Callithrix jacchus: one gene and its partners. The protein of the gene in region 1 interacts with the protein of each later gene in a biochemical or structural test. Links are inferred from orthologs where the notes say so. Each region holds a gene or a part of one and is shown in the gene's direction. Other genes may lie near its edges. The genes, in order: RNF20, UBE2B, UBE2A, WAC and H2BC21.

Region 1 (5,591 bases):
TGAGAGCATGGTGAAGAGTGAGAATCTGAGACCAGACTGTCCGGGGTTGACTCTGAGCTGTACCACTTCCTACCTGGCTGATCTCTGTTAGCCTTCCTTTGCCCATTTTCTTGTCTGTAAATGTAATCAAAGTACCTGCTATGTTAGATCTTTATGCAGATAAAATGAGAGTCCCTGTTAAGGGCTAACACTTTGCATTTAACATAGTAAATAGTCAATAAATGTGAGCCATTTGTAGCTAATATTGGGCTAGATAATATAATGGTGCATAACGTACATACTATCCTTGCTCTAATGGAGCTGACAAAATGAGTATTATGTACCAAAATCTCATAGTAATGTTATATATCTGTTAGACATCAGAAGTTTACAGGTTTTGATCTAGGTCAAGATTTTACTTTTTTGAAACTCAGCCATGGGGATGTGATGTTAAAATGCTTTGCATTTGTATGGCTTACAAAACTACGTCTATTAGTTACTTGATTTTGAGGCTAAGGTTTATTTTAAGAGAGTTTGATTTTTTTTTTTTTCGAGTCAGAATAATAGGAACATTCATAGTAAGTTGTTGATGATGTGTTATTTCTGAGGCTGCTTGGGTTCTGGTACTTAATGTTGCCAACAGGAGGTGGTTTTGTCTTAGCACTGCCTTACATCATGCATTCCAAAGGCATTTATTCACTCAGTATATAAATATTTGTTGAGTATTCGTTATTTTCCGGACACTGTGCTTTACACTGAAGACAGCCCCTAGACTTTAGTTTGTAGGGTAGCACTGACAAGGGAATAGACTATTTAGAGTGGGATATGTGTTGTTCATAGGGACAAGCACATACTTAGGGAAAGCACATAGCACACACCCGCGTTTGGACTTTATCCAGAAGGCAATGAGAAGCCATTGGATGGTCTTAAGTAGGGGGAGTAACATGCTCTCATTTATGTTTAGAGACTATAGAAGAGCAAGGGTTATAAAACAAGAGTCCAGTTAGCAGAGTTGTTTCTTCATTCCTTTTTATTCCCTTTTCCCTACAACTCCATCTCTCCAAATGTGGGGATCTGAGGCATGTATCCATTGATCCCTGCTCCAGTTGGTTGAAGGTTGCCTTTGAAAGCAGTGCCTCCTGTGCATTTTGAGATTGCTGTTATGTGCCAGCTGTGATTGTGGGTCAGGAAAACTGAGTCTCCCAAGGGTAATTCAAGTGGGAACACTAGCAGTGTAAATGGAGCTGTCCACCACAGCTATGCTGAAATGTGTCAGGCTGACAGGACTTAGCACAGAGTGTTTGCTGTAGGAGGCCTTTGCATTAATCTTAATGAGAGATCATGGTGGCTTGGACCACTGTGGAGGTGGCATTGATAAGATCTGCTGATGGATTGGATAACTCACATGAAAGACAGGAGGGAGGATCACCCCAGGATTTTGAAAGTATTGGAGTTTCTACTTAGCCAGAGAGGAGCAGATTTTTGGGAGTCATGGAGGATGAATTGAATTTGGTTTGGTTTGGGGCATACAAGTGTGAGATATCTATCTGATCCCTGAGTGGATAGGTAGTTAATAAATTGGATGCTGGACAGAGGTCTGGGCTAAAGCCATACATTTGGGAATCATCATTTTGTAAGTTGTGTTTAAATGTTTGAGACTACAGACTCTTTTAAGGAATAAGCATAAATAAAGAGGTCTGCTGGAGCACTGTAATATTTTCATGTCAAGGAGATGATAAAGGACTAATCAAAGATACAAACAATGCGGGACAATGAGGTAAGAGAGGCTGGGTTCCCAGGAGCCCACTGAAGAAAGTATTTCAAGGAGTTGATCAGGTGGTGCAGGTGTGTTCTCATTCAGGTTTCAGTTGGAACAGAGAGTAAAGAGAGGACTGAGATGTTGTATTTAATAATACAGAGTTCATTGGAGATACCACAACACCTACGTTTGTGGATTAGTGGGGATGGCAACCTGTTTTCAGTGAGCTTAAGAGAATATGAGAGGAGAGGAATTAGGGAAAAGAGAGTAGAGACAATACTTTAAAGGAGTGTTACTGTAAAGTAGATGAGTATATAGTGACTGATCATGGAATTTAAGTTCAGTACAGAAGGAAGTGAGAGAAGTGAAAGGTATAGGACCAGTGGATTGTAGATCCTGGAGAGACTGAAGGATTTTAGGAGTAAGGAAACTGGAGAGAGTGAACTGGAAAAATAGTGGTAGTTGTGAAGAATGACATGTTTGAAATTGAGCTTATAGAGGACATGTAGGTACAAGTAAGACTTAATGTGGGAGTTGGTGACTGAAGGAGGCAGAGGACAAGATCATTGGTGGAGAGGAGGTCAATGACTTGATGATCCAAGTATAGGAAAGATTATCTGAATGGGTGTTGAAGTTGTAAAGAATGATGACAGGAAAAGTATTGGAGAGTGATAATAAGCTAGGTGCTAAATCTTGAGAAATGTGAGGAAACGAGGTAGGCATTTATAGATGAATTCAACAGAGCATGGTGGCAGGTGGTATGGGCTAATGGCGTGAACTGCAGAGGCAGGTTTTAGGGAGGAAGGTGGGATAATCGCCTGGAAGTGGCAATGGAAAACAAGAAGATATTCATCTCTCCAGGGCTTCAAGGGGTGTAGAAGAGAAACAGCCACCACTGGAAGCCTGCAGGGAAACAGCATTCTCATCCAGGTTTCAGGTAGAGCAAGAAGGGAAAGGCAATGTTTAGAGAAGAGTTTGAAGATAGAGTTTATTAGTAGTGTTAATAAAGTGGTACAGTGGGGAAAACTGTTGACTACTTAGTTATATTAGGAATGTTTTAACTAAAGGGAAAAGAGAAAAATGAAACAAAAATTGGTGCTGTAATAAACAATTCTTACTTTAAAATACTGATTTTATTAATTCCTCAGGAAAGTAAGAATGTTTTTTCACATGCTGGTTCTTTGCTTGTTATATTCCCTCATCCCACCTCCCGCCGAAGCCTCCCTGGTTTGTCATAGGGAAGAAGCTGGAGAGAGAAAAATATTGAGAGGAATGTGAAATTACTAATGGAGTGAGGGTTTTGTAGAGACAGAAGAGAACAGGATTCTGAGCACAAGCCGAGTTTTAAGAATGTGTGCATAATTATGTGACTGGGTCAAAGAGATGGGGAATTGAGGCGTTTCCTCTCTGATGCCTTCTATTTTCTCATAAAAATAAGAAATAAAGCCATCTGTTTAGTATGATATAAAAGGGGGCAGGGTTTGGTAGAGGTTGATGCTGCCTTTATGGAGAATGGGAGAGAGCTCACTTGATAAAGAAACATTTCTGGACACATGATAAGATCTGTTTAGGTTCAGAATTCATTTTGTAAAGGCACTGGTTTCTGTAGTTTGATGAATTTCTCTAGAAGTCTCAGCATACTGGGTACAGGAATGAAATAGTCAGATATCTGGATTAATTCAGACTGGGGTTTGTTCACGAAGGTAGAATAAAAGGATTAAAGTCGGAGAACTGAGGGAGCTGTTAGGCAGGTGTTTGAAGGAATGTACTCTATAGCATATAATTAAAATGTGGAAGGTAGTGGAGATAGAAGGGGATCGAAAAGGAGAAAGAAAAGAACTTAACATTCTGGAGATCTAAATGAGGTAAAGGGATTGGTATATTGGGTTAAGGGCTTGAGATACCTGAAAGATGTGGTGTTATTCAGGGAATGGGAAGTTGGAATTTAAGATTTTAGATTTAGTACAGTTTAGTACAGTTCCAGATAATGACAGAAGTCCAAGATGTGGCTTTTGAAATGCATGGCTGAAGCACAGTGGAGGAGATAATCATTGGAGTGAAGGAATTGGAAATACTGACAGCCTAGGTGCTAGGGGTTTAGATGGTTTGTCCACAAGTATGTTGAAGTCACCAGATATATTGGCAGGAACTGGTATAGACAAGAACCCAGGTGCTGAAGTCTTTAGTGAATGAAGTGCAGTGCTTAGGAGATAGATGACAGTATTGATTGGAGTAGAGAGTGCTCTAGCTGGGTACTCTAGCCTTAAAGTAGCATTGCTTTGTAGATGTTGATGTGACTGGAACAGCGAGATGGGTGTGGTTGAGATTTTGGTTTATTTGTGTGTGTTATTCTTTCCTCACATCATCATATACCTGTTATCTCTTCTGCTTCTACCTCTTATTTAATTACTTGTAAGATTTTTAAAAAGTCAATAACTTCATTCATAGGAAATAACTAATGAATTATTGTGACCTTGTTAACAGCTCATTTTTCTAATTTCTTTGTGGAGACTAATAAGATTGGTTTACTGGGCAGGAGGAGCTAGATATTCGAACACTGCAAACCAAAAACCGCAAGCTGGCAGAAATGTTGGATCAGCGGCAGGCCATTGAAGATGAGCTTCGTGAGCACATTGAAAAACTGGAACGACGACAGGCCACTGATGATGCCTCTCTATTGATTGTCAACCGATACTGGAGTCAGGTAGCTAACTTGTTTATTTGCTCAGATTTTTATTTGACGAATTTAATTCTCCTTACTATTCATTTCCAAAGTTGGGTCCTTTGTTTCTTCATAATTGTACTTACCTCTTCTCCAGTTTGATGAAAACATCCGTATCATCCTTAAACGTTATGATCTGGAGCAGGGCTTGGGGGACCTACTCACAGAAAGAAAAGCCCTTGTTGTGCCTGAGCCAGAACCAGACTCTGATAGCAATCAGGAACGTAAAGATGACCGAGAGAGAGGCAAGTATTTGTGATGGATTCTATCACTGCATGCTATCTGGATATTTGAAGTATTGCTTTGCTTGCTTTTCATTTGAGGAAAAACAATGGATTTTGTTATATCCAGTTTTAATTTTTGGGGGGGCTTCTTTTTTTTCCCCTGTGTCCTCAGGGGAAGGGCAAGAGCCAGCTTTCTCTTTCCTTGCTACTTTGGCCAGCAGTTCTAGTGAAGAGATGGAGTCTCAGCTGCAGGAACGTGTGGAGTCTTCCCGCCGAGCCGTGTCCCAGATTGTGACTGTCTATGATAAATTGCAAGAAAAAGTGGAGCTCTTATCCCAGAAGCTAAACAGTGGAGGTGAGGCAAGAACCTGGAGGCTGGGAGTAGTGGAGGAGGAATAAGAACTCATTTTTGCATGCTAATTTGTAGTTTGCAAACTTACATATTTATTTTTTATTTATTTTTTAAGAGATAAGGTTTCACTCTGTCACCCAGGCTGGAGCACAGTGGCACCATCATAGTCCATTGCATCCTTGAACTCAAGCATTCTTTCTGCCTCAGCTTCCGAGTAGCTAGGACTATAGGCATGTACTACCACAGCTGGCTAATATTTTAATTTTCTTTTAGAGGGGAAGTCTTGCTATGTTGCTCAGGCTGTTCTCAAATTGGCCTTAAGAGACCCTCGCTCCTGGCCTCCCAAAATGTTGGGATTACAAGCATGAACCACTGTGCCTGGGCTACCTATTTATTTTTAATTATATTTCTTAAAATTCTAACCTTCAATATTACTGGTAGTGTCTTCACTATGGCATATTAATCTTTTATCAATGCTTTTCATTTTGAGCTACATGATAGTCCTTTAATAAATGGAGGAGCCAAGCGTGGTGGCTCACGTCTATAATCCCAGCA
Region 2 (6,270 bases), on another chromosome or scaffold:
TTTCTCCATGTAACCTTACATGTGTATCTTTCTCTTTTGTTATCGGAAGGGTTAGGACTGCAATGGCAGAAAGGCAAAAAAATTAAGAATATTCAGCTTTTGACTTAGAAAACACATTGTGAAATGTTTAACAGGACCTATCAAGAGTTAGGCCTGCCTAACTCGATTACCGAGGCAGTCACTGGAAGCAGAGAGAGAATTCAGGGTTTAAAGAGGAAGATGCAAGGAAAGTCGGAAAAGTTAACTCTGCTTCCATGGAACTATGGGCAAGGTTGAGGCAATGCTAAGGTCTTCATTCCACCTTCCCTTTCCCTGTTGAGCTGAAGGATTCCTCAGTACTCAGAGTCCTTAGTATAACAAAGTCCTGAGGGTAGGAACTGGAAGCAATAGAGGGAAGGACAGTAACTACAGAAAATATTCAAGGTCTGTGGGAGATCAACACTTTTGAACCCCCCTGGTGATGGGGGGGCACTTCTGGCCCATTTGCACTTTACTTGCTAGTGTAGAAAACCTAAAGTTATCTCAGGCTAGATTTATTTTTTTGTTTTGTTTTGTTTTGAGACAGAGTTTTGTTCTTGTTACCCAGGCTGGAGTGCAACGGCGCAGTCTCGGCTCACTGCAGCCTCCACCTCCTGGGTTCAAGCAATTCTGCCTCAGCCTCCCGAGTAGCTGGGACTACAGGCGCACGCCACCATGCCCAGCTAATTTTTGTATTTTTAGTAGAGACGGTGTTTCACCTTGTTGACCAGGATGGTCTCGATCTCTTGACCTCGTGATCCACTCGCCTCAGCCTCCCAAAGTGCTGGGACTATAGGCGTGAGCCATCGCACCGGGCCTTCAGGCTAGATTTATAACCCTCACTCATATCTACAGGAGCTCTCCCCCAGGTATAAATCATATTTGTAGGTTTCTTTGACAACCAACCACTCATTGATAAGCCTGGAAGTCTGCAACCCCACATTCCTTAAAAATATACAATGGTACAACCCCCTATAGGCAAGTCCCGGACTCTGACACATATCTTCAAATGAAAGCAGACCCAGAAAGGAAAAACTGCATAATACACCATCCTTTAATGTTTGCCCAAAATTTTCAATACTAGAAACCCCACTGCAAAGCTGAAAGACTATTTGGTAGCTTCAAGGAAGCATTGCAGGATATTGTTGTGTGGGCCTCAACATTCAATGCTGCCTTAGAAGATCGTGCAATACCCTTCTTGCCCCAATAGCAGAGTTGATAAGCCACTGAACCAACCAGAGGGGAATTATTTTTGGTCCCGGTTTAAAGAAAACAAAACGTGACTCATGCCTGTAATCCCAGCACTTTGAGAGACCCTGCCTCTACAAAATGTAAAATAAATAAATAATTTTAAAACCCTCAAAAAAAAAAACAAAACAAAACAAAACAAAACAAGCTGTTGATTCTGCCATGATCTCTTGGGTAATGATGTCTCTAACCTGTAATAAACAGGAAACAACTAATAAAGGTGTAATCTCCCTTGAACCAGCTTCATAGAGCTGGCTGAAACTCACATAGAGGCGAGGCTTTCACGTGACCCATTCTAAAGGCGTCATAGGGACACGTGGTTCTAGATACTTCTCCCCCTCCCCCTCAGGGGTGGATTGTTGACAAGGCCACGGTCAGTCACGTGATCTTACGTCATCCCACCTCCTTTCCCTGAAATCTCTGGCCCGGATGAGTCCCCCCTCTCTCCACCCCGCCGAGTCTAAACTAATGACGGGGAGGGGGACAGATAGTGTTTCGGTTCCGTGGTCTCTGAATCCACAACCTCTAGTGTAAGCACAGAGTACACAAACTTGCCGATCATTTCAGGAAGCCCAGGCTGAACCCAGCCCCGCAGAAGGGCTCGGAGAACGCGCGCTCCAGCGTCCCGCCCCCTCCTCCCCCAACGCTCTTCCGTGGTAGCGGCGGAGGGCGGAGGGATCCGGAGGGCGGAGGGATCCGGAGGCGGCGGAGGGAGACGTCATTGCAGGGTTGTTTGTCAGTCTCGGCGACGGCAGCAGCGGCAGCTACCCACAGTGATTTGGCCGCCGCGCCGGGGGGTGGGGGGGCTGCGCGGGACTCTTTTCTTTCAGACTGACCGCGGGGCAGCTGGGGAGCATGTCGACCCCGGCCCGGAGAAGGCTCATGCGGGATTTCAAGCGGTAAGGGCCTTCACGTCCGCCTAGATGACGGCCCCTCAAAGCTGCGGGGCTGCAGGGTGGGGATCCCGGACACCTTCCCCTTGTGACCCTCCGAGGGCCGGCTGTGGGCCCAGCAGAACTGGCAGAAGCCGGGTCCTAGCCTCGGCTTCCACTACCTTATCCTTGCCTCTCGTTTTGGCGGCCGAATAAATTTCGATACTCCTCCTACCCCCAAAAAGTAAAACGGTGTCGATCGACTGGCCTAGGGTTCCCTGCTGCCCTTTTCGGCCAGCTGCCCGGCGATCAGATTTCCTCCACCCGCCCCTGCACCCTGCGGCGCCCCCTTCTTGTCCTCTTAAAGTAAGCTCCTGCGGGAGTTTGTTCCTCGCCGGCTGCACCGGTCAGCTTTGTTTCACTGCCCCGCCGTCTTCTCCGAGGAGCCGGGTTGGGGCGAAACCCCCCGCACCACGCCCCGGTCCTTTCCATTTCTACCGTGAGGGTGGGGTCCAGTGCGTGAGGCCCGGAGCTTAACCCATCCCCCGAAACCCGACTCTGTCCCCGCCCGCCTGAAAGGACCTTGGGAACCGACTTAGAGATCTGGGACCTCAGAGCTGGCCACCCCGGCTGCCAGTGCCTTCTGGAACTCAGCTCTGGCTGGTGAAGAAAGCCCTATCTATAGCCTCCCGAGTCTGGAAAAATGCCTTCCCTTAGACGGGCGCTAATTTGATACTCCCTGGGCCTCCTTTGGTAAATAAATAGGGTTTTAACTGTTAGGAGGTATTGGGGTTGTGAGAAAGAGAATGATTAGTCCGTCGTTTGCCTTTAATTGGATACTTAGAGACATAGAAAAACATGTGAGAAAACAGCATTTTGATAACTCTGCACGTTTTTCTTAAAATTTTTTTTGGGGATACCTGCCCTAATTGAGACAAAATATCTGGCCTAAAAACTTAGATTTGTCGCTCAGGAAGTCGCCTCTCAACTCAGCCATTATAAAGCCTATGTGAAGCATTTGGAAGCCATCCATTGTTTTGGGCTTTGGCCAACTTATTTAATTCATTGGTAGCTTCTCTTAGCCATTTAAAGGTAGGCGTCAAGCAGTGCAGTTCTTGTGAGGCTTCTGTTCGTGGCGGCCTAATTTGCTTGAAATTGACTAAAAACCTTTTTTTTTTTTAATGTGGACTAGTTGCAAAGTGTGATGCCCCATGAAAACGACTGCATATGTATTTGTGTGTATAATGTAGCATTTTTAATTGACACTACAGTCTCTGAAAGGAGATGCCCTTTTTTGTGCAAAAGTTATCTTTCTAAAGCTTGAAATTAGTGTATTTGCTTGGCACTTGTGACTAAAATTCAAATAGCAATTTAGTTCACGTCATTGTCTCCCTGGCTCCTTACTGTAATGCTCTGCTTAATTCTGAGTTGAGTATATGACACCTTTTGAAGTTTTCCAAAGGTCTGCAGGTTATAAGAATTTGAGGAATGTTGGAAAGCCTTGTATTGAGTCTCCTGATCTGAGAGGTAGATTTGGTGTTAGTGCAGAGCCTTAAAATAGGGACTGGCAGAAAACCTACTGATTACTTTTTAAAGCCATTGCCGTTTGAAGCAAAAGGGATAAAGTAAATCTGCCTAATACTAGTTTTGTAATTAACGTGTTTTCAGTCATTAGTGTTTACACTGAGGTTTGCTTTTCTTTTTTTAGCCATTTTGCAGAAGTACCTGTGGTTAAGACACACAGTCTTTGGATGGTTAGAGCAGCAAAATCGATGGTTCTGTAAAAATATTATTTGCTTTTGAGTTTTTAAACTTTTTTTTGGTTTAAGAGGACAGTCTGTATGCATCAATTCTTGAAGAGATAATAATCTTGATAATATTGAAAAAGGGATGATTCTCAAGCCTTTTACATTTTTAGATAATTTGGAGAGGTATTTAATAAGTGTATATACCTGGTTAATATATTTAAGTCATAGGGTTCATTTTAGTTCACAGTAACAAGGAAATGGAGTTAGTCCCTGTGTCACAATAGATGGTATAGTGTCTGTAGGTGTTTATGTGGCCTCCTTAGTGGCCTTAATGTTCAACTTTTTAAATTACCACTCCGGATTTCTAGGTTACAAGAGGACCCACCTGTGGGTGTCAGTGGTGCACCATCTGAAAACAACATCATGCAGTGGAATGCAGTTATATTTGGGTGAGTTGAAAGGTTTATAATAGGTGTGTGTTGAATCTTTAAGTGAATATATAACAACTGCCTAGGAAAAGAAACTGGGGTGGATTGAGAGATCTTCAGGACTAAAACTACAAGATAAATTAGAAAAAAATTTTTTTAATTAGAATTTTAGCTCATGCCTAGGAGGATCGCTTGAACCCAGGAGTTCATCACCAGCCTGAGCAATATAATGAAACAGTGAGTCTCTCTCTCCCTGCCCCCCAAAAAAAGGAGTTTTGGCCCAGCCTGGGCAACATAGTGAGACCTCATCTCTACAAAAAGTATAAAACTAGCTGGGCATAGTGGTGCACACCTGTGGTCCCAGCTACTTGGAAGGCTGAGGCAGGAGGATCACTTGAGCCCAGGAATTTGAGTGCCATGATTATGCCACTGCACTCCAGCCTGGGCAGCAGAACCAAGACCCTTATGTTTCAAAAAAAAAAGGAAAAAAATTTCAGCAGTTATATACAATTTATTTGCTCTTTTATTATAGGGTTTTATAATCACTTCAGGTTTTACTTTAAAATACTATTCAAAACTATATGGAATGGAATAATAAAGGAGAAAATATAAATTATTTTGTATAAAATATACCATGCAAATGCTTTAATTCTGTTGGAGCTATTACAAGATTTGGAACCAAAAATATTAAGAACTTCTACTGTGGCAAGTATTTAAGTGAAAAGGATTCACAGCCCGGTGTGAAGTAGCAGAATGCAGCCATTTGAGGAGTTGTAAATTTTACGTACTATATATGTTGCATATATGCTTTTTAATTTAAATTTTCCTTATGCTTTTTCTTTGGTTTTTCTAGACTTGATCTGTTTTTTCTTTCATTCCTTTGAAACTCGAGATATGCATTAAAAAGTAAAAGGAATATGTTGATAAACAGAATTCTGATACTCCAGTTCAGCTACAAGAGTCTACATTTAAAGACTAGTGGAAAATGAGTGAGGTTCACCCTCATAAAGCACTTCTGTTATATTCAGGGTATTATCTGGCTACTTTGAGATCCTGAATATGCCTTGCAAGTAATAATTAAACCTTGTGCTGCTGCTTAGGAAGTATGAAATTGGGATGTGGTGGCAAGGATCTGAACAAGAGAATCTGGCTTTTTGGTGACAGCAGCTATGCTTAGCCTATTTGAACAAACGTTATGCATCTGTTGGAAAGCAGGACACTTGGGTTTAGCATCATAACTAAAGACTATTGCTTTCCATCTTATTGCTGTTAAATGAAAAAGATGACTTTTTCTCTTAAGAATATACATATGTGGCCAGGCATGGTGGCTCACGCCTGAAATCCCAGCACTTTGGGAGGCTGAGGCGTGTGGATCACCTGAGGTCAGAGTTCAAGACCAGACTGACCAACATACTGAAACCCTGTCTCTACTAAAAATACAAAAATTAACCAGGTGTGGTGGCACATGCCTATAATTCCAGCTACTTGGGAGGCTGAGGCAGGAGAATCCCTTGAACCCAGGACAAGTAGGTTGCAGTGAGCCGAGATCACGCCATTGCACTCCAGCCTGGGCAACAAGAGTGAAACTCCCTCTCAGAAAAAAACAAAAAATAACAACAAACAAAAAATATACATATGTACAAAATGACTGGTCAGTATTAATGAACTGGAAGTTTTTGGTGCTAAAATTATGGGCAAGTTTTTTTGTTTGGTTTGGTAAAACCACCCTAAAAAGAAAGCTTAGAATGAAAGTTGTATTTTATGCCTGTGTTTATGAAAATCCAGGGCTAAGGTGTTATTAAGCTGTATCTTAAAACTCCACAAATCATCCGAATGGGTCCCTCTTTTTCTGTTGGAGTTTATCATTTCCACTCTTGAAAGTCAGTAAAAAGCAGAATGAGAAACTTCTTTTAATCAGAAATCTTCTTGTTTTCAGACCAGAAGGGACACCCTTTG
Region 3 (6,339 bases), on another chromosome or scaffold:
CTGGCCTCTCCCAGTTATTAAATGAAAAACTAATGTAGATTCTGCAGTGGCAAAATTTAACAGACGTAATTAAGGTTCCAAATTAGATGTTTTTAAGATAGGGAGATTATCCACAGGGTGGGCCTGACATGATCTGATAAGCCTTTAAAGTAGACTGGGCTTTTCCTGAAAACAAGATTCAAAGAAGGAGAAGGATGCGGTGGGAGAGAAATTCTCTGTTGATGACTTTGAAGATGGAGTAGGCCATATGGCAAGGAATGTAGGTGGTCTCTAGGAGCTAAGAGTAGTTCCCAGGTGGCAGCTAGCAAGGAAATAGGGACCAAAGTCTCACAATTGCAATGAACTGGGCTTGGCCAACAACTTGTAATTTGTTAAGCAGTGATGAATACCAATGCATTTGCTTTTGTAGATCTTGCTTTTGTTCATTTCATATGTGTGTATGTGTGTGTTAGTAGACTGCAAGTTCCTAGATGAGAGGAAGAGGATTCTAAAAAAAATGTTTGTACTCCCTTCCTACTACAGCCATAATGTGATGCTATTAGGGCGACTTGACTTAACTGATATGTTGGAGTTAATGGGAGATAAGAAATACTTGACCATGAAAGTACCTGTTGTTAAGCAGCAGCTAGAATCACTACCATTGTCAAGTGCCTCCTGCCTCTCATGTTAGAAACAAACTCCTGCACATCTGATATCTTCTGGACATCTTCACAGGGATGTCTGACCAGTCCCATGAACTCAGTAAGTCCCACTCAAAATTTCCTCTCCCAAACTTGTCCCTCTCTCTCTATTCTGTAATTCTGCTAATGGCACCTTAAGATCCCCAGTTAACTTGGGGTTTAGAGTTTCAGCCACTGTTAACTCCTTCCTCTCTCTCGCCTCCATATTCAACCTGTTGCCAGGTCTTCCCCATTCACTCATATCCTACTCGCCTTTATTGTCACTGCCTGGTTCAGTATCTCACACCTAGAATACTGCAAGAGTCTCCTGCCTGCTCTCTTGAGATCAATTTCTGATAAGCACAGCTCTAATGATGTCACTTCCCTGCTCAATGGACTTCCAAGGAATCCATTAGGTTGGTATTCGAAACTCTTGACGGTTTAACCCAAGCCTACCTTTCTATTTTCAATAATTTTTAAATGTGTATTATGCCTATCTTCTAAGTTATTTTGAGTTGACCTTTAAAAATTCTCCTTTAAAACTGTTATTGCTTTTGCAGGTCCACCTACTGCGACTCTTCCTGCCACCTGCAGCTCTTCTAAGTGCATCTTACCATTCCTTTGACTTCAGACCCACTGTCCCTGCAGTCGGATAGTCTCATACCTTGGATTCTTCTGAACATATAATAGCCGCTTGGCTTGTTGAACTACCAAGGGAAAAATGTGGTTCCAGAGCCAAATTGTGAGTGCCCAAAGCGGAAAAAAAAAAAACCAAAAAACAGAAAACAACCTACTGTGCCTGCCTTAAGCTCCCATTTCATTCTCCTCTGGGGTAATCATTGGCATAAGCGTTGAGCGCCCAAGCCTGCATTTAGTCCCACAGCACCCCCCCAACAGAGTCAACGCCGATTTATTCTTTTGATTTTCCGTGATTTTAACCAATCACCTCCCCTCCCCACCTCTGCCCTCAGTCTCCGACGTCCGCAGGGCTTGGGCGCCCTAGAGTTGCCACTTTTTGAGAACCGGTTTTGCCTCCGCCCACTCCTCCGTCCTCTGGTTTGGGACTTCCAAACTTCTCCTCTCCTCCTCCCGGGGTATGGTGCGCATTTTCGTGAATGATCTGGTCACAAAACAACAACAACAACAACAAAAAGAATAGAGAAAGAAAAATTTAAAAAGCCAAAAACTTCCCAAGGGCTGCCTTAGAATTGGCAGGTAGGAATGGACCCCCGTTCCACCACGAGGTCCTCGAGCGCCCGGGGGTCCCGCGTACCCAGCACCTCTGCCCTCGGCCCCGCCCCGGGCCTCCCGCGGGGCTTTAATGACATAAGCAACTTTCCTCTAGCACCCCCCGCCCCGTCTTGGTACGGCCTGTCCGGCGCTCGACGTTCCACCCCCCCCCTCTCTGCTTTCAGGTTGGTTCATCCCCCGTCTACACTGGGGTGGTGCTTAGCCGGCGCCAGACCGACCCTCGACTTCGGAGAGGTAGCGCGGTACCTTTGGGTGCTTCCGCCTCCCCTTCTCCGGCTTCTTCTGCCTCCTCGGCCTCCTCGCCCGCCGCGGGAACCCGAGACCCTAGTGTATGCCCCACCCCTGACCCGGTTCGCGATATGTCCACCCCGGCTCGCCGGCGCCTCATGCGGGACTTCAAGAGGTAAACTGAGGGGACGGCCGAGGCCGGGGGCTGCGAGCCGGGGCACAGGGCGGGTCCCGAGGCGCGCCGGGCGGGGAGGGCTGGGGAGCAGCCGGGAGCGGGCGCCAGTGACGGCCTAGGGGGACCCTTGTCTGTGTTCCGGAAGGTTACAGGAGGATCCTCCAGCCGGAGTCAGCGGGGCTCCGTCCGAGAACAACATAATGGTGTGGAACGCGGTTATTTTCGGGTGAGTCTGCGTTCGTGGCGGTGGCGAGAGACCTGGGGACGTGAGCCGCCTTGGACTGCTCTCCGAGGCCGGCCCCCCGCGGAGGCCAAGGGGGTCGGGGAGAATGTTTGGGTCTGGCTGGGCCTAGGCGCCTCCCCGGAGCCTGTGCCTCGATTAGCTCAGTTCCCGCTGCTAGGGGGGAATCGCTTGGGGTTCTAGGGGGGCGGGGCGGGGAGTGGTGGCGGTTATAACGGCGCGGCGGCCTGCACTGTGTCTCTGAACCCAGGACATCTATTTGTAGTGGCTTCCGACCCAGGCAGCAGTGCTGGAGATGGCAGGGCTTGGGATAGCCATCTCACATGAAGCAGGGAGAAGGGGGCCCCTTAAGCGGGAACTGACCATTTTTCTCTGTGTTGCAGGCCTGAAGGGACCCCATTTGAGGATGGTAAGAGAGTTTTTCTTTACCCACTTTTCAGGAGCCTGATCACCTGGGGAAAGGGTTCCCAGTCATCCTGAAGTGTCTCCTACTTAGGAACCTGCCTCTGCCTAGCCTCTATCTGCTAAAGGCTTGAGTGGAGTGCAGTGTGTGGCTGTTCTGGATATTGTATGCTTGACTAGAACTGCACCTTTCTTCTTGCTTTCTTTTTAAAATAGTCTGGGTAAGGCAGTCACTTTTTAAAAGGAGCAATCATAGCACTGGTATTAAGGATTTTTGAAGCTTGGGCTGTGATTCTGCTAAATTCAGCCCTACATCGCTGAATTAGTATAAACCCAACCAGTTGCTGACAGTCAGCAGAGACCCCAAAGACTGTCTGGTTCAGAATTCTACCCCATGGGCAGGAATTGTGTTTAGCAGGGGCTTGATAGGTGTGTGTTGGATGTTGAATCCCTTACATACAACTGTCTGGTTTCTACAATCTGACATTGAATGCCTATCAGCCTCACTGCTCTAAGATGGTCTTTATGCCTTAGTTGAATATAGTATTCTTTCTTATTTGTCTTTTTTTTTTTTTTTTTTGAGACAGAGTCTTGCTCTGTTGCCCAGGCTGGAGTGCAATGGCACGATCTCAGCTCACTGTAACCTCCGCCTCCCGGGTTAAAGCAATTCTCCTGCCTCAGGCTCCTGAGTAGCTGGGATTACAGTCCCACACCACCACGCCCAGCTAATTTTTGTACTTTTAGTAGAGACAGGGTTTCACCATGTTGGTCATGCTGACCTTGTGATCTGCCCGCCTTGGCCTCCCAAAGTGCTGGCATTACAGAGGTGCGCCACTGCGCCTGGCCATTCTTTCTTATTTTTAAATGAATATACAGTGTGTGTTTTCATCAAGACATTATGGTCAGTAATTTCAAAGCAGCTTCACAATTGAAGTTCGCCTTAATGTACCCTTTTGATCAGTGTCCAGCCTACTTGAAGATACTGCATGTACCAGTAGCTACATAATTTGTAACTGATTTAGGTTTGTCTTTTAAAAACACATATGTAAATTGCTTTTTAAAAACCTTATGGGTTTAGATAATTATAGATTCATGTGCAGTTGCAAGAAATAATAGAGACACCCTTTATACACTTAACTCAGTCCTCTCCCCAAACCCTCTCGTTTGGTAACATCTTGAATGACTATACCCTATCACAACCAGGAAAATGACATTGATTGTTCTATACTCAGGTGTGTGTGTATGGTGTGGTGTGTGTGTGTGTGTGTGTGGTTATTTTTTCAAAGTTTCATACATTTAAATGATGATTAAAGTATTGGAACTCATGAAATTCTTTAATATTTGAGGTGTTTAAAAAAAAGGAAAAGGGTCTGTTTTTTCCTCAATGATTTATCTTCCTTCGATCACATAGCATTTACACACACACACACACACATGCTTCAGTTTGAAGATGGGAACAAAAACATTTATGCAAACTACTTAATACATACTTATGTTGCTGAGACGGATTGCATTTTGATGCCACCAGTCTGCAAAATGTTGTGAGGTAAGTCAATATAAACTAAGTCTATAATTCATCTCAAATACTTAGATTTCCCCAGGAAACTGTGGACAATCACCTGAATATTTTCAACTTCCTCTCTGCCTTTACCTGCTGGGTAAATATCTTTGCTCGTCAGGGATGCAATGAAAAGAAATGATAGCAGGAGACAGTGATTGTAAGGGCATACTACTTTGGCTTAGTTAATAATTTGAACTGATCTGTAGCAAGAAAACTATAGCTAGACCTAATTTTCCTCTACCAGATTGGCACTAGTTCTTTATTCCTGAGCTTTAAATGTACAGATTAACTGTGTATTTGCTTTAGCTCTAGAAGGCTTTGTTTTCTTGTTTTCTTTCTTTTGAGACAGGTCTTTTTCTATCACCCAGGATAGAGTGCAGGCGTGCGATCTCAGCTCACTGCAACCTCTGCCTCCTGGGTTGAAGCGATTCTCCTGCCTCAGCCTGAGTAGCTGGGATTACAGGCACATGCCACTACACCTGGCTAATTTTTGTATTTTTAATAGAGACGGGGTTTTACCATGTCGTTCAGGCTGGTCTCGAACTCCTGACCTCATGGTCTGCCTGCCTGGGCTTCCCAAAGTGCTGGGATTACAGGCGTGAGCCACCATTCCCGGCCTCAGCTTTGTTTTCATTGGCTTCTTTTTTCCTCATTTACTCTGTTTTATACTGGGCACAGCTTTATTAATAGTACATCACTTTGTTGGCGGTTGGCTACCTAGGTATTTCAACGGTGCTTCTCTTAAGTGGTATGAATTGAGGAGGTACTTACTGAATCCATTATCTGCCAGGACTGTCGGCTTTGACATTACTGACTATTTTTGATGACGTGTATCTCCATCCCAGCATTACTGACTCAGGCTGGCTTATTTGTTCTGTTGAACAGTCTGCTACCCATGGATGCTTCCTCAGGTGTTTGGAACACTGTGGCTCCCCAAAACTATTTTTTAAACCTTTTTTTTTTTGAGATGGAGTTTTGCTCTTCTCACCCAGGCTGGAGTGCAATCGCACGATCTTGGCTCATTGCAACCTCTGCCTCCTAGGCTCAAGCAATTCTCCTGCCTCAGCCTCCCAAGTAGCTGAGATTACAGGCATCCGACACCACACCCAACTAATTTTTGTCTTTTTAATAGAAGGTTTCACTATGTTGGCCATGTTGGTCTCGAACTCCTGACCTTAGGTGATCTGCCCGCCTTGGCCTCCCAAAGTGCTGGGATTACAGGCATGAGCTGCTGTGTCCGGCCTTAACCATTTTTTTGAGTACCCTTTATTTACAGTTGGGGAATTTACAGTTAGAGAAAAGACTGATTAGGGATAAGTGGCCTAGTTGGTTTTGCTGTTTCCAATGTATTATGTAAATTAAGAGCCCCAAAACTACCTTTGCTTCTTCGTTGTAAACCATTTGTTATGGAAGTTTCTGGAACAGCCAGGCCCTAGTTAGAGTGATGAAATCTTAAGAAAAGCAACACTTACAGGTATTTTGGTTTAACTTCACACACTTGAAGTAAGAGGAATATAGTCTCAAGAGCTTACACTACCAAAACATTGGGGAGAAATGCTTTCTCATCAGAATATCTTGGTATACATGCTAAATACAAAGGTTATGGAATATAATCTTCATCACATAATCTAAAAATTGTTAATAGATGTGGTAAGGTATTGGTATTTGCTTTTCATAATAAATGTGTTCTTTAGGATTGGTGTATAAATCTTTTTTCTTTTGTTTTTCTGTTGGAGTTCGTTGCCCAGGCTGGAGTGCAATGGCACGATCTCAGCTCACTGCAACCTCCACCTCCTGGTTTCAAGTGATTCTCCTGTATCAT
Region 4 (6,109 bases), on another chromosome or scaffold:
TTCAAGGCCTTTCTCCCAACATCATTCCCTCTCTTCATCTATTAGGTCTAGCAATAATGTAACTTCTTGGATACCAAATAAATCAGTTACTTTTCGTTGTTTTTTGGGGGTGGGTGTCTTTTTTCTTCTAACTTGTTTACCATTTTGCCTCTTCTGTATTAATCACATATTTACTCTGACTACAATTCTTTTAACTACTGTTCCTTCCAGTTTAAGAAAAAAAAAAAAATCAACCAATCACCGGATACCACCACTCTCAACTAATGGTTGTTGGTATACTTGACGTTTCTCCTCCCAATGTGGCTGCAACAGTACATAAAATCTCATTTGTAGCAATTTCACCTAACACACCGCAAGCCTTTATTCACATCCAGAACCTCAACATGTATTTCCTTTCGCGGACTTCAGCGAAGAATCAGAAGGGGGAAAAAGTGAGAGATAAATAGAGGGTGGGCGGGGCACAGCTGGGTATGCAAAACGTTAAAAAGGGGTGAGAAGCCGGGCGCCGTGGCTCACGCCTGTAATCCCAGCACTTTGGGAGGCCGAGGCGGGAGGATCGCTTCAGGCCAGGGGTTCAAGACCAGCCTGAATAACATAGTGAGAACCTATCTCCAGGAAAACTTTAAAAAATTAGCCGGGCGTGGTGGTACATGCCTGTGGTCCCAGCTACTCAGGAGGATGAGGTGGAAGGATCCGTTGAGGTCGAGGCGCAGTGAGCCGTGATCGCGCCACTGCACTCAGCCTGGACGACAGAGCGAGACCCTGTCTCAAAAAAAGGGAGGGGAGGTGGGGCAGTGAGACAGTTCAGGGCTGTTTCCAAGGGACCCATCTCCCTAAATTTCCACTATCAAGCACCGCTTTCATTCCCTGCCCCGAATGGTGTTACCCGCTCCGTGCAGGCATCTCCGCTGAGGGCCGCCGTGGTGCACCGCCTTCCGCCTCGGGCACAGCACCCCTCAGCTCCTCCTCTCGGCCGTTTCTCCCCGGGCCAGCATGTGCTCCTTCCCCCTCCGGGGCGCAGGGTGAGACTTACGTCTAAAGGACGCCCGGCGAGCTTGCTGCAGCCCCTGCGCCACGGAGGGCCCGTGGCGCCCGCGGCGACCGGTGAGGGGCAGCGGCCCGGGCTCGGTTCCGGCTTCCAGCAGCGGCCCGAAGGCGCTGGAGTACGCTCCCAGCTACCCAGAGGGTAGCTTTCGCGACTGCCTACCAGGCAGCTCATCGGAAGCGTCCGCCCCTGGTCTCGCCAGGGGGTTTCCGACCTCCCCGCCCGAGCCCATAGGGGCGGGGGCCGCGGCCGGAGAGCTCGCCCGAGGGTACCCCCTCCCGCGGCGCCTCTGAGCGCACGCGCAGCCGCCGCAGCCTCCCTTATTAAGTCCGCGATGGCTTCCCTCGCGCCCCACCGTCCTCTTCCGGAAGGCGGCTCCCTCCCCGCGCAGCCCGGAGCCTCTGGGACCAGCCTCGAGCGGGTGCCCGAGCGAGACTATCCCTAAACGGAAACGGCGGTGGCCGGACTCGCGAGTGAGGAAAAGAAGTAAAGGGCTGACAGGTCGCGAGGAGGAGAGCCAGGCCTCAGAGGAGGAAAGAGGCCGGGGCCAACCGAGGTTTGCCGAGGGCGGCGTTCCGGACCCGCGCGGGGCGGGGAGGAGAGGAAGGCCGAGGGTGGGAGAGGAGGGGCACGTCGGAAACTGCCGAGGTTTCCCGAAGGCGGCAGCGTCCGAGTTGCCCGGATGTAGTTGGTGGAGCGGCGGCGGCGGCACCAGCGGCGGCGGGAGGAGGTGGAGGAGGAGGAGGAGAAGGACCAGGCGGCGGCAGCAGCGGCGGCGGCGGCGGGGGGAGGAGGGGAGGAGGCGGCGGAGCAGGAGGAGGAGAAGGCGGAGGAGGCAGTCGCTCTCCGCGGGGCTGAGCCGGACGCATCTTCTTGCCCCCCTCCCCCCGGTTCGCGCTGCCGCCGTGTAGTTGGCGCCGCTTCCCCGGCTGAGAGTGAGCGTGGTGTCGACGGAGGGAGATGGCCCGGGAGCGCCGGCGCCAGTAACTGGGAGGTGCTGAGAGTCGCCGAGGGCGCGCCGGGCCCAGGTGCCGGGGCTGCCCGCCGCCCGCCGCCGCCTGCTCGCCCGCCCGCCCGCCTCTCGCGGCCGCTCTCCCCCCTCCCCGACACACACTCACAGGCCGGGCATTGATGGTAATGTATGCGAGGAAACAGCAGAGACTCAGTGATGGGTAAATTGTCTTTTCGTTTCGGGCCGGGCGGCGGCGGCGGGGGGCGGCGGCGGCGGCGGCGGCGGCGGCGGGGGGGCTGTTCCTTCTTATCTAGAGCTGGCCGGGCCGCCATTTTTGTTGTTAACCCTGATCCGGATCGGATTGGGGAGGAGGAGCGGCCGCGCGGGCGGGCTGGCAGGGACGGACTGTGGCGGGGAGCGGGGGCCCGGCTGCGCGGCGTTTCGCCCTCCCCGGCCCTCCCGGAGGCTCGGGGTTTGCGCCTTGTGCGCGCTGGGCTCGGCGCCGGGGCGCTGGGTAGGTCTCCCGCGGGGAGGGGCGATTGGGGACCCATTTTCTTCCTCCCTGGCCCCCCACCCACGCCTTGTCTTATGTCTTTGCTTTCTCTTCCTGTTTTTCAGCTGTCACGACCGGAGGGGGGACTCGCAGCCTTACCAGGTACTAGCCGAGGCCGGGTGGAGGGTTTGGAAGGGGCCGAAGGGGGAAGGGAGGGACTGCTACTCGAGCGCAGGCCTCAGAAGTCGCTACAGGCCCTTCGGTGTAACACATCGGAAACCAGCACCGCGGGTCCCCTTAAAATTCGGGGTTTGGTGCTTTTGGCCCTCTCCAGCAAGGTTTAGTGACTTATTTTGACAGGTGACTGGAGGAAGTTCGCTGATTTAGGAAAAAAAGAATCATTTGCAGCCAGGAAGACCTGACTCGATTATTTGCGGGTGAAGGAATCGAAGGGATGAGATGATAGGTGACTTCCGAGGCTTAATTATTTATTTATTGTGTTGGGGAACTGGAAGTTAATGTAAAGGCATTAAAATTAAGTGAAGGACCTGGGATAAATAGCTAAATGACTTACAACTTTTAAGTCGGTAAAAAGTGCTATTTCCCCTTTTAATATTTTTGGTATACTTAATTGCTGTACAAGTAAAAGATGTGTGCTTTTGTTTCTGTAAGAATTGAGATCTTTTGGTACTTGGATAATTCATTCTGATGTAGGTGGTTCTAGGTAGGCGGGTTCCTTTTTGTTACTGCAGTCCCTGCTTGTAAAGTTCTAAGGATTATGATAGAAGTGGCCCCAGTTTTCAGAAGGGAAATATAAATGATTGGTAATCATCAGATGACTACGGAAATCCTTTCTAGATTTTAAAAGATCAGAGAGCAGGTTTCTAACCTGATTCCTGTGTTGTTATACAGCGGAATTTGAAAACACTGTTCTCTGATGTGTAAAACATTGGATATGTCAAAAATTAAACCTTATTGAATCTGTCCTCCAAAGCATAACTAATTACACATTGTAACAGACTAGTACATCATGGTGGTTTTAAGATATGTTGGAATAAAGCTAAACTATTATTTTGAGTGCATTATGCTTGTTTAGAAATAGTATTCACCTTAGTGTATTGGTCAATATTTTTATACCTTAAAATTGTTTCCCACACCTGTAAGAGTAGGGAAGTTAGGTCTGAAATGCTTTATTTGAATCATAGAATTGGAGAAACTGGTGTGTGGGTTTTTTTTTTTTTGGTAGGTTTGCAAAAATACGCGTGTGCTTATTCATATGCTTGTGCATATCAGTTGTATAGCAGAAATTGATTGCAGTGGTACTGAATTTCTAGTTTTCCTCTGAGTAAACTTTCAAAGTGATTTTAAATATTCCCAGAATTTTTTTTTTTTTCAGAATCAGTGTGCCAAGGTGGTTTGATTTAGTTACAAGATAATGGAGTGATTCTTTTTTTTTTTTCATTTAGTATTATGATTTGTACCAGGAGTGTTACTGTAACACTTAAGCATTAGGTTTTGTCTGAGAAACTTTGAAGAATAGAGCAGAATTCAAAGTGGAAATTTAAGTTCATAAAATTTGATGACGTTAATACACCAAAATTTGTTTAAATTAGTTTCTGGAGTTAAGTTTAAGGTTTCAATTCTTTCTCTCTCTCTTTTGGGGGGGTGATGTTTTACAGGCACTTAAGTATTCATCAAAGAGTCACCCCAGTAGCGGTGATCACAGACATGAAAAGATGCGAGACGCCGCAGATCCTTCACCACCAAATAAAATGTTGCGGAGATCTGATAGTCCTGAAAACAAATACAGTGACAGCACAGGTCACAGTAAGGCCAAAAATGTGCATACTCACAGAGTTAGAGAGAGGGATGGTGGTGAGTAGCTTTCTTGTTGAAACTTTGACATATATGTTTCATAGTAGCTGTATATAAAACACGCAGCAGTAGTATTTCAAGCTTGAAATTACTGTGTGGTTATGTCATTAAAATATTTTACTACTATCAGTTTTTTTTTCTTTCCCTTTACTCTAAACAAGTTACTGTAGACATAAGATGCTGATGTGAGCATCTAAAAAGTGGAAACTAAGGCCAGGCATGGTGGCTCATGCCTGTAATCTCAGCACTTGGGAGGCCGAGGTGGGGGCAGATCACTTGAGGTCAGAAGTTCGAGACCAGCTTGGCCAACAGGTGAAACTTGTCTCTATTAAAAATACAAAAGTTAACTAGGCTTGGGGTGGCAGGCACCTGTAGTCCCAGCTACTCAGGAGGCTGAGGTAAGAGAATCACTTGAACCTGGGAGGTGGAGGGCGCAGTGAGCCTGAGGTGGTTCCACTGTGCTCTAGCCTGGGCGACAGAGCGAGACTCCATAACAAAAAAATAAAAAGTGGACTTTAGTGTCTGATAATAAGGAAATGAATTTATAAGTATAGTTTGAAACATGCTTTCTTAAGGATGGGGAAAATGCAGGACATTTTTTCCGATAAAGGAACTTTCCCCTTTTTAAGTAAAGATTTCAATTTATTTTGAGATCCTTATTGTTGCTTCAGTTTACTTTTTAAGGTGTTCAGATCTCTTCTCATTACAATGATAGTATGCTTTTACAGGATAGTTCCCAGATTTAAAAAATTATTTGTGACTTAGAGAATACATTCTTGCTTTTTGTTGTAAACATTTTATTTTCAGTATTCTCCAGTTTTGGTGATGTGATTTTTATACCTTATTCATTGAACTATTCTTTTTGAAAGTTAATGTGATTTCTTTTGCACAATGCTGTACCTTCAATTATAAGTTTGTGTCAAGCTCTTTGTGGTAGGAGGCTGAGAATAAGTAAACAAAACCAACTCAGTAACTACTTCCAGACTTAATTTGCCCAAATTACATTTCAAGTCAGAAGCATCCAGTTTCAATAACGTAATTAAAGACGTCTGTATTTTCTCATACTGTAACATATTGCTTAAGGAGATAACATATGTTAAGCAGATTTACCATATTAAAGCTTCCAAAGAAACTCAATAAAGTACTGTGTGGCTTTTTGCCCCTATTGGCAACTAGTTTCTCAATACTTTGCTTACTTTAAAAAATACCTTGCATCTTCTGGTTCCTTGACAGAAATCAGCTTTATTCAGTGTGATCATATATCAAGAAACATTGGCTTCCTTTACATAATTACTGCTTTGAGAGAAATACTAGTCAGAAGAGATTACACTGGGATTGAATAATTTGGATGAGGAGAAAATACTCTGTTGAATTTAGTTACAGCTTAGTGTTATATATGCAGATACAAACATTTTTGTTTGTAACTGTAGTAGCAGGTATATTTGATTATTAAAGTGTTAGAAGTTACTGGGTTGCAAAATTAAGCTCTTAAAGTTTTCAGTTTGGTGGGTAAGTTTTCCATAGTGTTACATAAACCCTGAGAAAGCCTGAGATGGTACTATCTATCAGTTACTCTTCTATAGTGGATTTCATTTCAGATGTTAGTTCATGGAGAGCAGGTACTGGTTGTACTTATAACTGTACTTTATTTTGTAAAATTTGGTGATTGTAACAAAATAGGGTATGGCATCTCATCTTCTTACAAATGGCTCTAATTTTAGTGACTGTGATCCAGGTTATCCCC
Region 5 (6,177 bases), on another chromosome or scaffold:
TAAAATTGGAGATAGGGATGCCGAGTCCAGCTGGACTCGCAGATTTAGAGATGGGCAGTGGAATGGTTAGCAGGGTAAGAAAAGTCAGCGAGGTAAGAAAAACGGAGGGCGACATTTTGAAAGCCAAGGGAGCAAGTTTCAGGGCCGCCTCCTGGAGGTCAAGGGGAGGATGGCAAATCTATTGTAACTTCGGTCAAACCACCTTCCGAGGAGGGCAGGCGTGTGGGGGTGGAGCTGAGAAAGGCCGCTGCCGGCGGCTACACAGAAGGCCGAGAATGGAGGCAGCCTTAATAGTACCCGTGTTTTTAAAGAGAATTTGGCTGTGACGAGACAGAAAGGGCGGGACTTGGTACTTCATAGCTCGGGATATAATCAGCTTCAGAATCCTATTCTTGCGTGAGAGTAACTCTCCGTCCGTGGAAGTCTTCTGCAGACCCTTGGGGGGGTCCATCCTGGGATTTGCCGACTGTAAACGGGGGACAAACAAAACCAAACCCACAGTGCCACTCGGTAAAAAAGAACCAGCGTTCTATTTGAAAGCCTACTCTCTTTAAAGGTCCTGGCATGCAAATAAGGGGCTTTAATGTGGCTCTCAGTGATTGGTAGGTACTGACAAAATCCGTCATTTCCTTTCGGCGCAGGATGCAAACCGGGAGGCGGCTTTCTGCTTTCCTATTGGCTGTTGGATACGGCTCCGCTTTCAGCCAATCAAACGACTTCCCTTCACCCCTCCCGGTGGCTCTTATAAATTACATCAAATTGGTTATCCCTTCCACATTCTTCTCCTTGAAAAAGAAGCTGTGACTGCAATTTTAGCCGTAATGTCGGGACGCGGAAAGCAGGGGGGCAAGGCCCGCGCCAAGGCCAAGTCGCGCTCGTCCCGCGCTGGCCTCCAGTTCCCGGTGGGGCGAGTGCACCGCTTGCTGCGCAAAGGCAACTACGCGGAGCGGGTGGGGGCCGGCGCCCCAGTGTACCTGGCAGCGGTCCTCGAGTACCTGACCGCGGAAATTCTGGAGCTGGCGGGCAACGCGGCTCGGGACAACAAGAAGACGCGCATCATCCCTCGCCATCTGCAGCTAGCTGTGAGGAATGACGAAGAGCTCAACAAGTTACTGGGGGGTGTCACCATTGCCCAGGGCGGCGTCTTGCCCAATATCCAGGCTGTCCTGTTGCCCAAGAAAACGGAGAGTCACAAGCCTGGCAAGAGCAAGTAATAAATAGGCTTGACACCATACCCATTCACCCCAAAGGCTCTTTTAAGAGCCACCAAAGTGTCAAATGAAGGGCTGGTAACGAAACAGCGCATTAGCTCTTTTTTTGAAAACTTGGGTGGCTCTAAAAAGAGCCTTTGGTCTTTGGTTTGTCTGCATTTATTTGCTTTTGGCTTTGTGGCTTTCGGTTTTCTTTGGTAACAGAACGGCCTGGATGTTGGGCAACACGCCGCCCTGGGCGATGGTGACTTTGCCCAGCAGCTTGTTCAGCTCCTCGTCGTTGCGGATGGCCAGCTGGAGGTGACGGGGGATGATGCGCGTCTTCTTGTTGTCCCGAGCCGCGTTACCCGCCAGCTCCAGGATCTCGGCGGTCAGGTACTCCAGGACCGCCGCCATGTAGACGGGCGCGCCGGCCCCCACCCGCTCCGCGTAGTTGCCTTTGCGCAGCAGGCGGTGCACTCGCCCTACCGGGAACTGCAGGCCAGCGCGGGACGAGCGCGACTTGGCCTTGGCGCGGGCCTTGCCTCCTTGCTTGCCACGGCCAGACATGATTAAAACCAAGGCTAAACGCAGACAAAGCTCAGAACCACGCAACAAAATAAGATTGAAAGATCACCAAGAAGAAAGCCTTTATAAGCTTTCTTAGGGGTGGGGTCAAGGACGAGTTTTTCATTGGTCCTAATTTGGCTTCAGAGCCGGCCAATCAAGTCAAGAGTCGGTATCGCTACGTAGACGTTGCTGAAAACGCAAGGTCCACACACGGACCAATGGAAGTGAATTAGTTTCGGAGCCTTAATTTGCATAAGATGGTTATAAAAGGATCAGGTCCGCCCATTCTCTTACTTCTTTTCTTGGCTAAGTCGCGTTGGTACTGTGTCTTACCATGCCTGAACCGGCAAAATCCGCTCCTGCTCCTAAGAAGGGCTCTAAGAAAGCCGTCACTAAAGCCCAGAAGAAGGACGGCAAGAAGCGCAAGCGCAGCCGCAAGGAGAGCTACTCCATCTACGTGTACAAGGTGCTGAAACAGGTCCACCCCGACACCGGCATCTCGTCCAAGGCCATGGGTATCATGAACTCCTTCGTCAACGACATCTTCGAGCGCATTGCGGGGGAGGCGTCCCGCCTGGCTCACTACAACAAGCGCTCCACCATCACGTCCCGCGAGATCCAGACGGCCGTGCGCCTGCTGCTGCCCGGCGAGCTGGCCAAGCACGCCGTGTCCGAGGGCACCAAGGCGGTCACCAAGTACACCAGCTCCAAGTGAGTCCCTGCCGGGACCTGGCGCTCGCTCGCTCGCTCGAGTCGCCGGCTGCTTGAGTCCAAAGGCTCTTTTCAGAGCCACCCACCTAATCACTAGAAAAGAGCTTGTTCACTTACTCCCTTAGTTTTTTCTCACAAAGTAAGTTGTTTTAGCATAAGTCATGGGAAATAGCACACGTAGCTTAATCATTTGGAACTCGAGGTCCCCAGTGCATGATTGGATTTGCTTTTGAATCTAGAGCGTGTCGTTATTCATTGTGCTGCTTAGCTTTCCCAGGAGTCCGTTCTCATTTAGGGTGTTGGGAATCCGACTCTGCCCGCCCCCACCCCCGCCTTACACTGGCGCCCTGGTGGCTTCGTTGGGTCTGTTTCATCATTTCAAAACCAAGTGGCTGAGTCCGGCTGTTACTTAAGAGAACTCTGGGACACAATTCAGTCCGGGTGCCGCAAACTGCGTGACAGCGCTGTATGACTGACGCTTCGCAGCAGCTTTTGTGTCCGGTCACCAGTTTTGCCCTGGGATGGGGCCTCCTGTGGATGCCAGCCGTTCTGTGTACTTTGGACGAAGCCCGCGCAGCCGGGTCCCAGCCTTTTCCTGATTGGGCGACATGACTATTCGAAATTCTGCGCCGCTTTCTAATTTGTAGATTTCAGTTTCCGTGGTTCACTTTGAGATTCCTACTTCTCGGTTTGTGGATAATTTTTGCTTTTAATGGTGTCTGCTTTAAAATGGTAACGCTACGGCCCCGGGTCACTGCAAGACACCATGTAGATATGAGCTCAAAAGTCACCTCTCAGAGACCTTCTACGTCATCCACTCAGGAATTCGCGCCTCTCATAGTTCCCGGTCTCGTTTTATCTTCCTCGTAGCAGCTGTCTGAAATTGGCTCGTCTGTTTTCTTCATGGCATTCTCAAGCCCTTGACAGACCGGATGGTCTGGTTTTCCCGTGCCTCTTCAGCCAGTCAGTCTGGCACATTATGGACACTTACTTCAATACTACGGATTGAAGTAATATTGTTGGGTTAATTTTTCCATCCCACTTGTTTTTTAATCGCTTCTGTGGATGGATGATGGGTGCTGTTCATTTCCATTAGATGTACGTGAAGGCGCGGTGAAAATGGAAATGTTTTTGAAGTTATTCCCTCAAATGTATCCTTAGTCACTTCAGTGCAACAGCTGGGAGGGGGCCGTGTTAAGATTCTTTTGCATCAAAGAGGAGGTGGCAATGGTAGTTCCACCTTTGTGCTTCCCGGTTTAGCCTAACCTCCTTTGGATTTTCATCAAATTCAGCGTATTGGTCATGGGAAAGAGCCTTTTTCCTTCTTTTCTACTCCTGTCTTGGTGTTCCCTTCTTAAAGGAGAGGAGCTTTTAATTTGCACTCACCACCTGGTTTGGTTTTCAGGCGGCCATTCAAGATGGGCAGGACTACAAAGTTAATCTCTCTCTCTTTTTTTTTTTAAACAAATGAGGCCAAGAGAAGCCTGATTGGTCCATGGTCATGCAGTTCATACTGCCCACCTTTGTATTCTCAGATGCAGGACAATTGCATTTTAGTTTTATTTTGTGGAAGTGCAGAATATTTACTCTTTCTGTCAAACCCTTGATTCTGCCGAGGAACACACTGATGGTTTGATGAGTGATTCAACTCTACTTTTAGCTAAGGGCTTTGGGAGTTGATTGCAGGGGTTTGATGAATCCAAATGAGCTCTAGATATTATCACAGACTGAATAAATCTTAATTGTCTCCTACATGTGTGTTTTCAAATGTGTGTAGATGTTATTATTAATAAAGTTGCCAGTTAATTTAAAGTCTTTGCTGAATTATTTTATCTACAGTATATTTTCTCAATGAATGAGATTAACAGATACAACTTCCACTGGTTCTGTAGAAAAGCTTGGGAGCCTCTGAGCTGGGGGATGACTTGTTTATAAGCCACCAGCCAAACTGCTGCCCCAAAGGTGCATTGGGGCTTAAATAGTCTGTTAGAAGGTCACTGTTGGCTGGGTGCGGTGGCTCATGTCTATAACCCAGGACTTTGGGAGGCCAAGGCAGGCGTATCACAAGGTCAGGAGTTCGAGACCAGCCTAACATGATGAAAACCTGTCTCTATTAAAAAATTTTTTTAAAAAAAGGTCACTGTTAATGCTGAGTAATTGAAAAATATATGATCACAAATAGAAAGCAGTACAAATAAGATTGAAGAAATAAAGTTCATAATAAAGTTAAGCTAACACCTATGGAGCACTTACTATGTATCAGGCAGTGTTCTAGGTCCTTTATACATATTGACACATTTAATTCTCACCAGGGCCTCAGGAAGTAGTGCCATTATTATCACTCACTTTACAGATCAGGAAACTGAGGCACCGAGAAGCCTTTTTTCAGAAATTCTCCAGAGAATTAGCTCCTAGGTTAGCAGTTAAGGGAATTGAGAAATAGGGTCATTCTGAAAACCTGGACCCTATGCGTTAGAATTGAAAAGAAATATCACTGGCTTTATTCTCTTCAGAGTGCACCCTGGATATAAATCCTGGGTGGTGGTGGCTGAGCACCTTGAGAGTGGGATAATGTGGCTGTGATCCTCCATCCCAGAGGACATAGCTCAACTCAACTGAGTTTGTCCCCACAGTGGTGGGGCTCACCAGCTGGAATCCTTTGACTAACATGAGAGAGCCTTAGTTGCTGGTTTTGGGCTCCTCCTGGGCATGATACTCACTGGGAAGGAAGTTATAGAATGGGAAAGTGGGGAACAGGTGCTAGAGTTTGATATTTTAACTCTGGAGGGGAAGTAATTAGTGATGGTGAGATTAATCCTCAAGAACCTCTTCGATCATTTCTGCTGGGCATCTTTAAACATTTGCTTATGTTGGGGTTAATAACAATAATTGTTGTCGGGGTCCGGCACGTCTGCCGGGGGACTACCGACCTGCGGGAGTCCCCGAGACTGCCAACGTAGATGTCTCGTTCAACCTGAGAGAGAGAGTGCGCGGAAGAGAAAGAATAGAGAAAAGTGGAGTCTGGAGGGCTGCGTGAAGATTATGGTCAAAACGCAGCAAATTTATTCTTGTGGGTTACAGCTTTTGTACCTTTTTTCTTGTTTACATTTACTTTATCCCAGTAGAAAGAAAAAAGAAGGGGTAAACAGAAAGGAAATAGAAACTCCATAAAAAATAGTTATCAGGGGCTTGTGATATCCACACAGAAGGCAGTTTAAGGGGGCTAGTGGTAGTAGTTTACATTTCAAAGATTTTACATTTCAAAGATACAATGGCGCCCTTAAGGTGGCTGGTTAAACCTGTTTTTCACCAGGAGCTAAAACAAAGGCTTGGCTCCAGGGAAAATATGGGCAGAGGTCTCTGCTCCTCTTAGGCATCTCAATTGCAGCAAGTTTATTGCTTACACAGAGACTGAAGGGGGACATGGAAGCAGACAGCATAATGTCCTCATAAACTGCAGGCCTTTGCTTTGCATTCTGTTGTTGCTTTTAGTGACTCAGCTCGCGGCCCTTTGTCTCACTCGACAGCCCTCGAGGTGGGGAAATGCAGACAGGTCCAGCAGCCAAACTGGGGCGAGTCAACTAGCTGTCTCGAGTCCTTGGCGCGAACACTACAAATTGTTATAATAACGATTACTTCTACTCAGCACTTAACTGTGTACCTGGTCCTCTGCTAAGTAAGTGGCTTACATGCATTGTCTCATTAA

Evidence for each region.
Region 2: the proteins of RNF20 (region 1) and UBE2B form a complex in vitro, tested with the Homo sapiens proteins (4 studies listed by BioGRID, with this or other methods). The link is inferred for Callithrix jacchus from reciprocal best matches to the Homo sapiens genes RNF20 and UBE2B.
Region 3: the proteins of RNF20 (region 1) and UBE2A form a complex in vitro, tested with the Homo sapiens proteins (4 studies listed by BioGRID, with this or other methods). The link is inferred for Callithrix jacchus from reciprocal best matches to the Homo sapiens genes RNF20 and UBE2A.
Region 4: the proteins of RNF20 (region 1) and WAC form a complex in vitro, tested with the Homo sapiens proteins (2 studies listed by BioGRID). The link is inferred for Callithrix jacchus from reciprocal best matches to the Homo sapiens genes RNF20 and WAC.
Region 5: of the proteins of RNF20 (region 1) and H2BC21, one has a biochemical effect on the other in vitro, tested with the Homo sapiens proteins (3 studies listed by BioGRID). The link is inferred for Callithrix jacchus from reciprocal best matches to the Homo sapiens genes RNF20 and H2BC21.

What each region holds. Positions count from the first base shown.
Region 1 is NC_133502.1:149,777,201-149,782,791, forward strand, and holds part of RNF20 (E3 ubiquitin-protein ligase BRE1A), read left to right. Parts: intron 1-4,274; coding exon 4,275-4,442; intron 4,443-4,557; coding exon 4,558-4,705; intron 4,706-4,856; coding exon 4,857-5,039; intron 5,040-5,591. UniProt on the Homo sapiens protein: Component of the RNF20/40 E3 ubiquitin-protein ligase complex that mediates monoubiquitination of 'Lys-120' of histone H2B (H2BK120ub1).
Region 2 is NC_133503.1:32,757,861-32,764,130, forward strand, and holds the start of UBE2B (ubiquitin-conjugating enzyme E2 B), read left to right. Parts: upstream 1-2,001; 5' UTR 2,002-2,121; coding exon 2,122-2,165; intron 2,166-4,254; coding exon 4,255-4,335; intron 4,336-6,250; coding exon 6,251-6,270. UniProt on the Homo sapiens protein: E2 ubiquitin-conjugating enzyme that accepts ubiquitin from the ubiquitin-activating enzyme E1 and transfers it to a E3 ubiquitin-protein ligase. In vitro catalyzes 'Lys-11'-, as well as 'Lys-48'- and 'Lys-63'-linked polyubiquitination.
Region 3 is NC_133524.1:115,472,939-115,479,277, forward strand, and holds the start of UBE2A (ubiquitin-conjugating enzyme E2 A), read left to right. Parts: upstream 1-2,093; 5' UTR 2,094-2,269; coding exon 2,270-2,313; intron 2,314-2,458; coding exon 2,459-2,539; intron 2,540-2,937; coding exon 2,938-2,963; intron 2,964-6,339. UniProt on the Homo sapiens protein: E2 ubiquitin-conjugating enzyme that accepts ubiquitin from the ubiquitin-activating enzyme E1 and transfers it to a E3 ubiquitin-protein ligase. In vitro catalyzes 'Lys-11', as well as 'Lys-48'-linked polyubiquitination.
Region 4 is NC_133508.1:28,789,654-28,795,762, forward strand, and holds the start of WAC (WW domain-containing adapter protein with coiled-coil), read left to right. Parts: upstream 1-2,176; coding exon 2,177-2,217; coding exon of another isoform or gene 2,218-2,548; exon of another isoform or gene 2,549-2,615; coding exon 2,616-2,651; coding exon of another isoform or gene 2,652-2,652; exon of another isoform or gene 2,653-2,707; intron 2,708-4,150; coding exon 4,151-4,365; intron 4,366-6,109. Other genes in the region: uncharacterized protein LOC144576520, read right to left, coding at 887-1,219; uncharacterized protein LOC118143121, read right to left, coding at 1,487-2,548.
Region 5 is NC_133519.1:9,818,916-9,825,092, reverse strand, and holds H2BC21 (histone H2B type 2-E), read left to right. Parts: upstream 1-2,052; 5' UTR 2,053-2,094; coding exon 2,095-2,475; 3' UTR 2,476-4,283; downstream 4,284-6,177. Other genes in the region: H2AC21 (histone H2A type 2-B), read left to right, coding at 822-1,214; H2AC20 (histone H2A type 2-C), read right to left, coding at 1,371-1,760. UniProt on the Homo sapiens protein: Core component of nucleosome. Nucleosomes wrap and compact DNA into chromatin, limiting DNA accessibility to the cellular machineries which require DNA as a template.